2 linked regions of the Saccharomyces cerevisiae S288C genome follow. Changing the gene in region 1 together with any one later gene gives a genetic interaction. Each region holds a gene or a part of one and is shown in the gene's direction. Other genes may lie near its edges.

The links. A genetic interaction does not mean that the proteins touch.
Region 2: mutations in RIF1 (region 1) and XRS2 together harm fitness more than expected from each alone (negative genetic interaction), as found in Saccharomyces cerevisiae (3 studies listed by BioGRID).

What each region holds. Positions count from the first base shown.
Region 1 is NC_001134.8:751,107-758,617, reverse strand, and holds RIF1 (DNA-binding protein RIF1), read left to right. Parts: upstream 1-1,511; coding exon 1,512-7,262; downstream 7,263-7,511. Other genes in the region: tyrosine/serine/threonine protein phosphatase PPS1, read left to right, coding at 1-998; serine/threonine protein kinase CHK1, read right to left, coding at 7,441-7,511. UniProt on the Saccharomyces cerevisiae protein: Negatively regulates telomere length by preventing telomere elongation or promoting degradation of the telomere ends. Recruited to telomeres by interaction with the C-terminus of RAP1, which binds directly to telomeric repeat DNA.
Region 2 is NC_001136.10:1,214,516-1,219,877, reverse strand, and holds XRS2 (Xrs2p), read left to right. Parts: upstream 1-2,297; coding exon 2,298-4,862; downstream 4,863-5,362. Other genes in the region: CTS2 (putative chitinase), read right to left, coding at 1-465; DXO1 (Dxo1p), read left to right, coding at 768-2,096; trifunctional aldehyde reductase/carbonyl reductase (NADPH)/glucose 1-dehydrogenase (NADP(+)) YPR1, read right to left, coding at 5,036-5,362. UniProt on the Saccharomyces cerevisiae protein: Component of the MRN complex, which plays a central role in double-strand break (DSB) repair, DNA recombination, maintenance of telomere integrity and meiosis.

The sequences.
Region 1 (7,511 bases):
TGTATTGCGAAGACGGATATACAGAAACGTCATTATTATTAACAGCTTATATTATATTCCACTTTAATATTCCGTTACAAGACGCTCTTTTGAGGATCCATCCAAGACCATTTTTCCTTTTTCCATCAGACTTGCAAATTTTAGGCCATTTACAACCTGTCCTGCGGGAGTTTAGTCCGCAGAATGGAAGTAATCTAAAATTATATGCCAATGCATTGAAATTTAGGGATAAAAGCTTTCAATTACACATTTCTTCAGAGCTTTTTAGTAGCATATTTTTTATGAAGATTCCTCTTGAGTCTAATTTCGTTAATTTGAAGGGCCCACTGCCATCCCGGATTCTACGTCACTTGTATTTGGGATCCCTGGATCATGCACAAAATCCTGCCTTACTTAAGTCTCTAGGAATTACGCATATAGTTTCTGTCGGTGAAGTTGTTTCATGGACATTGAATAAGGATAAAATTGCTCATCCTGTAAGGCCACATCGTGCAATAACTATGACGAATACCAATGAAGTTGCAGGTAATACTACATGTAATAAAAGCAGAAATAGAGCTGATACTGTGGTCAGCGATAAGCAAGAAAATGGCAGCAACGTAGTAATAAGTGAAAATTCTGGATTTCAAATTTGCCAGATCGAAAATCTAGATGACAACGGCAAAGATCCGCTTTTCCACCAAATAGACAAAGTTTTGGATTTTATTAGCAATTCCGAAGCAACAGGAGGGAAAGTTCTGGTGCATTGTATGGTCGGAGTCTCCAGATCTGCAACAGTTTGTATAGCTGAATGTATGAGATATCTCCAGTGTGACCTGGCAAGTGCGTATTTGTTTGTGAGGGTACGGAGGCTTAATGTTATCATTCAACCAAACTTGTTCTTCGTATATGAGCTCTTCAAATGGTGGAAAAAGCATTATAATCGCGAAAAAGACAAAACTATGGATTGGCACATCATCTGTAGGGGTATCGCTGAGGTTAATATGAAGTACACATGAACTTTGTTATATAAGTATACGTACAACTGTATAATACGTAGGAAAATTACCAATTATAAGAAAAGTATGCAAAATTAACGCTATCAGCCAAGTATAACGAACTGCTGTAATCCTTTACAAATCGTTAAAAAAGGGCCGCAGCAAATATTTATATAGTAAGGACAGCTATCTTAGATTTACATCGTGAATATACTCTACTTTTGATAAGAAACAAGAAGTCAACAGAAGGCAGGTGATTAGTGCCATTTTGATTTTCAGTTCTTTGTGTTTTTCCTCTTATGTCATATTTACTACAATAATAGAAGTTACTATAATTGACCGACGCGTCGATTTTTTATTTATTGGCGACTCATCGTTAGCAAGAAGATCGAAAGTAATAACGCAGTCTTAGAGCGATTTGAGGCAATTCGTCGGCATCAGTACCTAAGGAGATAAAAGTGAATATATATATATATATTCGTCAACGTTATTACAGGATTGCCATTGCAAAATCGTTTTTGTGGTCAATTTGCAATGTCGAAAGATTTTTCAGATAAAAAGAAACATACGATAGATCGAATTGATCAGCATATCCTCCGTAGGTCTCAACACGATAATTATTCCAATGGAAGCTCTCCGTGGATGAAAACTAACTTGCCACCTCCATCTCCACAAGCTCATATGCATATACAAAGCGATCTATCGCCAACGCCAAAGAGGCGAAAGCTAGCGTCTTCAAGTGATTGCGAGAATAAACAATTTGATTTATCAGCTATTAACAAGAATTTATATCCAGAAGATACAGGAAGCAGGCTAATGCAAAGTCTTCCAGAGTTGTCTGCCTCTAATAGTGATAATGTATCACCGGTTACAAAAAGTGTAGCTTTTTCTGATAGGATAGAATCATCACCGATTTACCGCATACCAGGTTCCTCACCTAAACCCTCTCCATCAAGCAAACCAGGAAAATCAATTTTGAGGAATAGGTTGCCTTCAGTGAGGACTGTAAGCGACTTGAGTTACAATAAACTCCAATATACCCAACACAAATTACACAACGGTAATATTTTCACATCACCTTATAAGGAAACAAGGGTAAATCCTCGCGCCTTAGAGTATTGGGTGAGTGGTGAGATCCATGGTTTAGTTGATAATGAAAGTGTTTCGGAGTTTAAAGAAATTATTGAGGGCGGATTGGGCATCTTGCGACAAGAATCTGAAGATTACGTCGCGAGGAGGTTTGAGGTATACGCAACCTTTAATAATATTATACCCATTCTAACCACTAAAAATGTTAACGAGGTTGATCAGAAATTCAATATTCTAATTGTGAATATAGAAAGTATCATTGAAATATGCATACCGCATCTACAAATAGCACAGGACACATTATTAAGTAGTAGTGAAAAAAAAAATCCATTTGTAATCAGACTATATGTTCAAATAGTTCGATTCTTCAGTGCTATTATGTCTAATTTCAAAATCGTTAAGTGGCTAACGAAAAGGCCAGATTTGGTTAATAAGTTAAAAGTTATTTACAGGTGGACCACCGGTGCGCTAAGAAATGAAAATTCAAACAAGATAATCATAACAGCACAAGTCTCTTTCTTGAGAGACGAAAAATTTGGTACTTTTTTCTTGAGCAACGAAGAAATTAAACCTATCATTAGCACTTTCACTGAAATAATGGAAATCAATAGTCACAACCTAATATATGAAAAATTGCTACTTATAAGGGGATTTTTGAGCAAGTATCCAAAATTAATGATTGAGACGGTAACTTCTTGGTTACCAGGTGAGGTACTACCTAGGATTATTATCGGAGATGAAATTTACTCCATGAAAATTCTCATAACTTCAATAGTTGTTTTACTGGAACTACTAAAAAAATGCTTAGATTTTGTTGATGAACATGAAAGGATTTACCAGTGTATCATGCTATCTCCAGTATGCGAAACAATCCCGGAAAAATTTTTATCTAAACTACCGTTAAATTCATATGACAGCGCTAATTTAGATAAAGTGACAATTGGTCATCTTCTTACACAGCAGATAAAAAACTATATTGTGGTCAAAAATGACAATAAAATAGCAATGGATTTGTGGCTTTCAATGACCGGATTACTATACGATAGCGGAAAGAGAGTTTATGATTTGACATCAGAATCTAACAAAGTTTGGTTTGATTTAAATAACCTGTGCTTTATCAATAATCACCCCAAGACTCGCTTAATGTCCATCAAAGTTTGGAGAATTATTACCTACTGCATATGCACGAAAATATCACAGAAAAATCAGGAAGGAAACAAAAGTTTACTGTCACTTTTACGAACCCCTTTTCAAATGACGCTTCCTTATGTGAATGATCCAAGCGCTAGAGAAGGGATCATCTACCACCTTTTAGGTGTTGTTTACACTGCATTTACAAGTAATAAGAATTTGTCAACAGATATGTTTGAACTATTTTGGGACCACCTAATAACCCCGATTTATGAAGATTATGTTTTCAAATATGATTCGATTCACTTGCAAAATGTACTCTTCACAGTTTTGCATTTGTTAATTGGGGGAAAGAATGCAGATGTTGCATTGGAAAGAAAATATAAAAAGCATATTCACCCAATGAGTGTTATAGCCTCAGAAGGTGTAAAGTTAAAAGACATTTCAAGCCTGCCCCCGCAGATCATCAAGCGTGAATACGATAAAATCATGAAAGTTGTGTTCCAGGCTGTTGAAGTAGCCATTTCTAACGTTAATTTGGCTCATGATCTGATCCTTACATCTTTGAAGCATCTTCCAGAGGATAGAAAGGACCAAACTCATTTAGAATCCTTTAGCAGTCTTATATTAAAAGTCACGCAAAACAACAAAGATACACCCATTTTTCGTGACTTTTTTGGTGCTGTTACTTCATCGTTTGTTTATACATTTTTGGACCTGTTTTTAAGAAAGAATGATTCATCATTAGTAAATTTCAATATCCAAATTTCCAAAGTTGGTATTTCGCAAGGAAACATGACCCTTGATCTTTTAAAAGATGTTATCAGGAAAGCTCGAAACGAAACATCTGAATTTCTGATAATAGAAAAGTTTCTAGAATTGGATGATAAGAAAACAGAAGTATATGCCCAAAATTGGGTTGGATCAACGTTATTACCACCAAATATATCTTTCAGAGAATTTCAGAGTTTGGCGAATATTGTGAACAAAGTTCCGAATGAAAATTCCATTGAAAATTTCTTGGACCTATGTTTGAAGCTCAGCTTTCCAGTTAATTTGTTTACACTACTTCATGTGTCTATGTGGTCGAACAATAATTTTATTTATTTCATTCAAAGCTATGTTTCAAAAAATGAAAACAAATTAAACGTGGATCTGATCACGCTGTTAAAAACTTCTTTACCAGGGAATCCTGAACTGTTTTCCGGTCTGCTCCCATTTTTAAGGCGTAACAAATTTATGGATATTTTGGAGTACTGTATTCATTCCAATCCAAATTTACTAAATTCCATCCCTGATCTAAATTCAGATCTCCTATTGAAGCTGTTACCACGTAGCAGAGCTTCATATTTTGCAGCAAACATAAAACTATTCAAGTGCTCCGAACAGCTTACATTAGTTCGTTGGCTGTTGAAGGGTCAACAACTTGAACAGCTAAATCAAAATTTTTCAGAAATCGAGAACGTTTTACAAAATGCGTCTGATAGCGAGTTAGAAAAATCAGAAATAATCAGAGAACTCCTTCATCTGGCGATGGCAAATCCCATTGAACCATTATTCAGTGGCCTATTGAATTTTTGCATAAAGAATAATATGGCGGATCATTTGGATGAATTTTGCGGAAATATGACCAGCGAAGTTCTTTTCAAAATAAGTCCAGAGCTACTGTTAAAATTACTGACGTATAAGGAGAAGCCTAATGGGAAGTTACTGGCAGCAGTTATTGAAAAAATTGAAAATGGAGATGATGATTATATATTGGAGTTGCTTGAAAAGATTATTATACAAAAAGAGATCCAAATTTTGGAAAAATTAAAGGAGCCACTTTTAGTTTTCTTCTTAAATCCAGTTAGCTCTAATATGCAAAAACACAAAAAGAGTACAAATATGCTCCGTGAATTAGTCTTATTATATCTCACTAAACCGCTTTCTAGAAGTGCCGCCAAAAAATTTTTTTCCATGTTAATTAGTATATTACCGCCAAACCCTAACTATCAAACTATTGATATGGTTAATCTGTTGATTGACCTCATCAAATCACATAATCGTAAGTTTAAAGATAAGAGAACCTATAATGCAACATTAAAGACAATAGGAAAGTGGATACAGGAATCGGGCGTGGTTCATCAAGGGGACTCAAGTAAGGAAATTGAAGCTATACCTGACACTAAGTCGATGTATATTCCATGCGAAGGGAGTGAAAATAAACTTTCAAACTTACAGAGAAAAGTGGATTCTCAAGATATCCAGGTTCCGGCTACGCAGGGAATGAAAGAGCCTCCCTCCTCAATTCAAATATCTTCCCAGATTAGTGCGAAAGATTCAGATTCAATATCGCTTAAAAATACTGCAATAATGAATTCTTCACAGCAAGAATCACATGCTAACCGAAGCAGATCAATTGATGATGAAACACTAGAGGAAGTGGATAATGAAAGCATTAGAGAAATAGATCAGCAGATGAAGAGTACGCAGTTAGATAAAAACGTGGCCAATCATAGCAACATTTGTTCTACTAAAAGCGATGAGGTGGATGTTACTGAGCTGCATGAAAGTATTGATACACAATCCTCGGAAGTGAACGCATACCAACCGATAGAAGTTCTCACTAGCGAACTGAAGGCGGTAACAAATAGATCTATCAAAACGAATCCTGATCATAACGTTGTTAACAGTGATAATCCTCTAAAACGACCTTCCAAAGAGACGCCTACCTCTGAAAATAAAAGATCGAAAGGTCATGAAACGATGGTGGACGTTTTAGTTTCTGAGGAACAAGCGGTGTCGCCTAGCAGTGACGTTATATGTACTAACATCAAGAGTATAGCCAACGAAGAATCTTCGTTAGCTTTAAGGAATAGCATAAAAGTGGAAACAAACTGTAATGAAAATTCCTTGAATGTCACTTTAGATCTTGACCAGCAAACCATAACAAAGGAAGATGGAAAAGGGCAAGTTGAACATGTTCAAAGACAGGAGAACCAGGAAAGTATGAATAAAATCAACAGTAAAAGTTTTACGCAAGACAATATTGCACAGTACAAGAGCGTGAAGAAAGCCCGTCCTAATAATGAGGGTGAAAACAACGATTATGCTTGTAATGTTGAACAAGCCTCTCCAGTAAGGAATGAGGTGCCAGGAGACGGCATTCAGATCCCGAGTGGGACTATACTTCTCAATAGTTCAAAGCAGACAGAAAAATCAAAAGTTGATGACTTGCGTAGTGATGAAGATGAACATGGAACGGTTGCGCAAGAGAAACATCAAGTGGGTGCAATAAACAGTAGAAACAAAAATAATGACAGGATGGACAGCACACCCATTCAAGGCACTGAAGAAGAATCTAGGGAAGTTGTTATGACCGAAGAAGGTATCAATGTACGCTTAGAAGATAGTGGAACATGCGAACTTAATAAAAATTTGAAGGGACCGCTTAAAGGAGATAAGGATGCCAATATTAATGACGATTTTGTACCTGTTGAAGAAAATGTCAGAGATGAGGGCTTTTTAAAATCAATGGAACATGCGGTATCTAAAGAGACAGGTCTAGAAGAACAACCCGAAGTTGCTGATATTTCAGTGTTACCAGAAATTCGTATACCCATTTTCAATTCTTTGAAAATGCAAGGGTCAAAGAGCCAAATAAAAGAGAAATTGAAAAAGAGATTGCAAAGGAATGAGTTAATGCCACCAGATTCACCTCCTCGAATGACAGAAAATACAAATATCAACGCGCAGAATGGCTTAGACACCGTACCAAAAACAATTGGTGGAAAAGAAAAACACCATGAAATTCAATTAGGCCAAGCCCACACAGAAGCAGATGGCGAACCTTTGTTGGGGGGAGATGGTAACGAAGATGCTACATCTAGGGAAGCCACACCTTCATTAAAAGTGCACTTTTTTTCAAAAAAGTCGAGAAGGTTAGTGGCCAGATTGAGAGGGTTCACACCGGGCGACTTGAACGGAATATCTGTGGAAGAAAGAAGAAACTTGAGAATTGAATTATTAGATTTTATGATGAGGCTCGAATATTACTCAAACAGGGATAATGATATGAATTGATTGTTAGTATGTAGAATAGATCAAAATGGCAATAAATTAATTACAATAATAAAATCTCTCGAAACAATATATAGTTACGATGACACACTAGAAATCGAGAGAGATATATAATAAGTAGAAAGAATTTTTTTTTTTTTTTGATCAGTGCATCTTAACCCTTCTTTTGTCTCCATTTTTTTCAGTTGGGAATTAGGATAATATCCCTACAGATAGTTGAAATTTTCTTGAACAATCTTCTCCATTCTAAAG
Region 2 (5,362 bases), on another chromosome or scaffold:
GGGTAGGATGTTTTGGACACTATTGTTCGAGCTTTCTTTAATTAGTTCTGAATTTTTAATTGCCAGCGATTTATACAAATTCATTTCTAGATCAGACCAACTATCCGTGTTTTCTATACCACCAGTTCTAGAGTTTATTTTGAAAAATGCATAGTAAATGTGAGACACTTGCTTCAAGTTTATGTCGTGAGGGAAATGAAACCTCGGTTTGTATGGGGACCAATTGGAATAATAGACCCCTGATATAAAGGCTTCGTCTCTTATATGGGTTCCATGATTTTGGACATTACTGGGAACTCGATGTCCGCCATTGTTAAAGTTGTCTCTAATATCATCCGACCTTTGGTTCTTAAAAATTTTATTATATAAACACATTTCAATAATAATCGTTATAAAGATAAGTAGTATTAGTAGGTGAGACACTAAGCTGCTTTTTGATCTGTGCTGAGCTGAGTGTCCTACCATATGATCACTCTTGTATCGTCTACTTATAGAGGTTGTTAGTACCAACCTGCAAATACAATTGTTGGACCATACTACCACAAAAGGTTCTTTTCGTTGGTGTATCCTCACAAATAATGATTATTCCACCAAAATCACCAAATTATTGTGTCAAACTAACTGGGATTACCCCACTATTGATTTTTCCAGTTTTTCCGCAATTTTCGCAGCATGTTTTACTTTTATAATGGCATTGTTGCATTACAGCGCCAGTTGTAGGTATCGATGATTTTATGTCAAAGTTTTCTTTCTAGCCAAACTCAGTTATGTCAACTGAACAAGATGCTGTTCTTGGATTGGCCAAAGATTTAGAAGGTATAAATTTGCTTACTGTGCCCAATCTCGAGAGAGGACACCAAAGTAAATTATGCAAAGAGAAAACTACTTCTGATTCATCTTCGTCAAGGAAGCCTTCACAACAGAGAGACAATTATAGAAAGAGACGTCCGAAACTTATATGTATCCCATATACGTCTTTTCTGCATACTGGTATGCACAATTTTTTGACGAAACCACCAAGAGATATATTTCATGAAAGTAAAGAAGTAGCTCTGTTTACCAATGGCCGGGCTTATACAATCCTACGCAAAGACCTTATACCAAATTTGAAAGAAAGTATTGCTGAATTGTATGAAAGCTCGCTTCTTGAGGCAAAAAAGCGGAAAGTCCCGTATTTAGGCCATGACTTATTTGCTAATATTGATGAGTTCGTTCCCATGACAATATCCGAATTAGATAGTGTATCACCGTGTTTTTCATACATTGAGAACTGGATACTAGATAATCCTGGTAAGGATTTTAAGATCGGCAAGAAATTTACTGTTGTAACCACAAGACATCATATCGTAGATTTGACTATGCATCTCTTTAACAGGCGAAATAGACAAACGTCACTAATTGTAACTTATATGGGGGCGGGCCTTCTTTCATTTTGCAGAAATGTAAAAAAAGATTCTCAAATGTCCAAAGAGGGCATTTATTCAAATGATCCAAATATGAAGAAAATTTGCTATTCAGGATTTGAATTTGAAAATTGGGTAACCGAAAATTCCAAAGTCGCTGATTTAACTGGCTCTAAATGTCCTATTTTTTCTCTTGTAGAGAGTAAACTTTCAGAAGAAATTGGTCTTTTAATTCGCTGCGAAATGGATGCATTCAATCCTGTTTCGGAGACAAACACAGAACTAAAGTGTTTTGCCCCATTATCAATGCACAATTCCAATCATAGGAGAAAACTTCTGAAAACGTGGGTACAGACGGGTTTATTACCGAACTCAGATATCATGATAGGTTTGAGGGACAGTCATAGCGGTCAATTACTAGACATTCAATGGTACTCAAGGGACTTATTATGTAAGAAATTCAATCACCCAGGTCTACCTACAAATAAAAAGGAACTTAACTATAATGCCCAAATTGCGGTAGAATGGTGTCATTATTGTATTGAAGCAATTTGTAAGCTGGTGGAGGCAAATATCTCTGACTATAGCAGTACAAAACCAGAATCATTTGAAATCGGTATAGATACTAACAACGCCATCGTCATCACTAAACTTAAGACTACTCCAAGAAACGTAGAATTATTTGGAATGTAGAGACGTGTATAATATATAATACTTTTCCGAGAAATATTTCATTTTCATTTTCGTAAAGTTGTTAACTACGCTAAATATTAGTACTTTTCTTAAATTTATATGGGGAGCCCTTTTTTTCTATGAAAAGCAATGCGTAAACCAAATAAGCAGAATTTTGTAATAGATGAGCAACAATACTGAGAAGGTGATAACTATAAATTTATGTGGGTAGTACGATACCAGAATACATTGGAAGATGGCTCTATTAGCTTTATATCATGTTGTCTTCAGGCCTTCAAAACTTATAGTATAGGTAGATCAAGTAAAAACCCACTGATAATTAAAAATGATAAAAGTATTTCCAGACAGCATATCACATTCAAATGGGAAATCAATAATAGTTCGGATCTGAAACACAGTAGCCTGTGTTTAGTTAACAAGGGTAAATTGACATCATTAAATAAAAAATTCATGAAAGTTGGCGAAACATTTACTATTAATGCCTCGGACGTTTTAAAGTCCACAATAATTGAACTGGGTACAACTCCTATTCGTATAGAGTTCGAATGGATAAATGAAGTCTGGAACATTCCTCCTCATTTGACACAATTCAGGACGATGCTTTCTGAATATGGTATCTCCACTGAGATTTCTATTAATGATATTCCCGCTAATCTGATGATTAGCGATTACCCAAAGAGCGAGGACAACAGCATACGGGAATTGTATGCCCTTGTTAGTACTATACCCATGAAAAAATCACGGTTTCTGATGGAATTGTGTAATACTCTTCTTCCCACATCTAAAACTAATTTAAAATTTGATGAAATGTGGAACGATATGATTAGTAATCCGGAGTACAATGTTTTTGATTTTGATCCAAATATTTTGCTTTCGAAGTTTATGAGGCTGAATAATATCAGAGTGTTAACTACTATCAAAAGTGAACCACGTCTATCATCTCTCCTGCGGACGTTCAATATAAATTTATTTGCATTTGACAACATTGATAGTTTATATAAATATGTTGACAGCTTGGAAGCATCAACAGAATACCTGATTTTGACAACTACAGATAAGAAAGAAAATGGGAAAATTCTATGTACTATCAAAACGATGTTAACATCAATAATAGATGGCACCTTAAGCGCAGTGATTAATATGAAGGGTGCATCTTCAAGAACTCTAGATAACGGTAAATTTGATCAAATTTCTGAAGGAATGTCTACTATTTTGAAAACATCTCGTGCACCTGAAGTTGAAGCTAGTCCAGTAGTCTCGAAGAAGCGAAAATTAAATAGACGTAGAGTACTACCACTCGATAGTCTTGATTTTTTTGCTGGAGGTTTGAGTACTAAGACTCTATCAGAAAATAGGTCTTTAACTGACGCTAAGAGACTTAATTGTGGCGCAGAATCAAAGACTGTCATTTCAAGTCCCAACATTGCAGAGGCAGATGAAAAGCACGCCCCATTTCTTCAAAACGCACTAAAGCCGACTGAAGATATTGGAAAGAAAAGTGGTCACAGTAGCCCTGGTGCTATAATTGTCAGTAGCCCCAACTTAGGTACTGTGAACACGAGTGAGGATTCGTTGGATAAGTCGCTACAGTCACATAAGTTACCACAGCCGTCATTGCCGGAGGTAGCAGGGATTGGCTCTCAAACCATATCTTCGAACTCCGCTGACTATGAAACAGCTGCTGTGAATTCGATGGATGATGCTGAAGTTACTAAGAATTTTAGGGTGAATCATCACCAGAATATAGAGCAACCCTCTAAAAACATCCGTAAACTTTCTAATTATTCACGAGAAATTTCATCTCCATTACAAGAAAATTGTAAGTCACCTGTAAAAGAGTTATCTATTAAAGAGAAATCTGGTACGCCGCACGCATTTGTTGAAGCTATTCAAGAAACTAAAAATAGAGAGGTCAAAAGAGTTAAGTCAACCATTGTTGAATTGAAGGATGAGGAGTTGAGCGAGGAAGCTATTAATCAGCTAAAAAATTTGGCTATTGTAGAACCTAGTAACAATTTACTGAGGAAATCATTTGATAGTGAGGGAAACAAAACAAGCAGAACAACTGAAAAATGGGAAAATAGCCTAATGGAGCCAGAATGGCATAAACGCAAGAATTTCAAGACTTTTGTCAAGGTACGTCCAAAATCAAAGGCGCACAAAGAAGAGGGTAAAAATAACACTCAAAGCTCAGATTTTATACGAAATGCAGCCTTTTTAATCACTAGAAATTATGTTCCGTTAAAAAAATACTCCAAAAAGGATACAACTACAAAATGGGGCACAGAAGAAAACGAAGATATGTTTGCTTTGACGGAGATGGAAAGATTTGGATCGAATACATTTATGTCCGATAATATAAACTCAAACACTATCCAGAAAAGATCTCAAGCTCTAAACAGATTCACGAATGAGGATAGTTCAAATGAAGGAGAAGAAGATTCGTTTTCTTTTTCTCGTTGTTCAGGTACTGCAGCCAGCGTTCAACCACTAAAAAACAAAATTTTTATTACTGATGAAGATGATCTGGGTGATATTGATGATAAAAGCGATAGACTAAATCACAGAGAAAATAATCGTAATCTTTTTGTGGTGAAGGAAATGAACTTACGGCCAAACTTGTCAGAAGAATGTTCCAAGCAAAGTAGACACAGTAGAAGCGCAACTAGTAGATCACGTGGCTCTTTTGGGGCTTCTAATAACGGTGATGGCGACGACGACGATGACGACGGTCCGAAGTTTACGTTCAAAAGAAGAAAAGGATAATGATAAATTTTCCGAGTATTTCCAATTTCATTAAATTATATTTTGCATTATCATTCGATATATGTGTATATATTATATGAAAATTAGTAAAATCAATGTTTGTTTCAGCTGTATCGGATCGGTTTAAAGAAGCACTACAGGTTGCTGGAGGCATTAACTGTAATGTAGCGCGCTCATTGGAAAATTGGGAAGGATCCCCACTTCATATCAACGACTCTCTTTGTACCATGCACTTTGGATAGGTTACTAATAGTCTTGAAATCATCCTCAGGCAGAGTGAAAATCTTAAAATTGGATACAATTCTTTCAGGATTAACCGATTTGGCCAGAACAACGTAGCCTCTTTGAATACTCCAACTGATAATAAGCTGTGCTGGCTCAACGCCGTGCTTTTTAGCCATATCAATAATTGCTTGCTCTTTTAGTAAAGGAGCATTAGCACTCCCAAATGGTGAGTAGGCTTCAACAACAATACCCTTTTCCTTACAAAAGGCAATCAA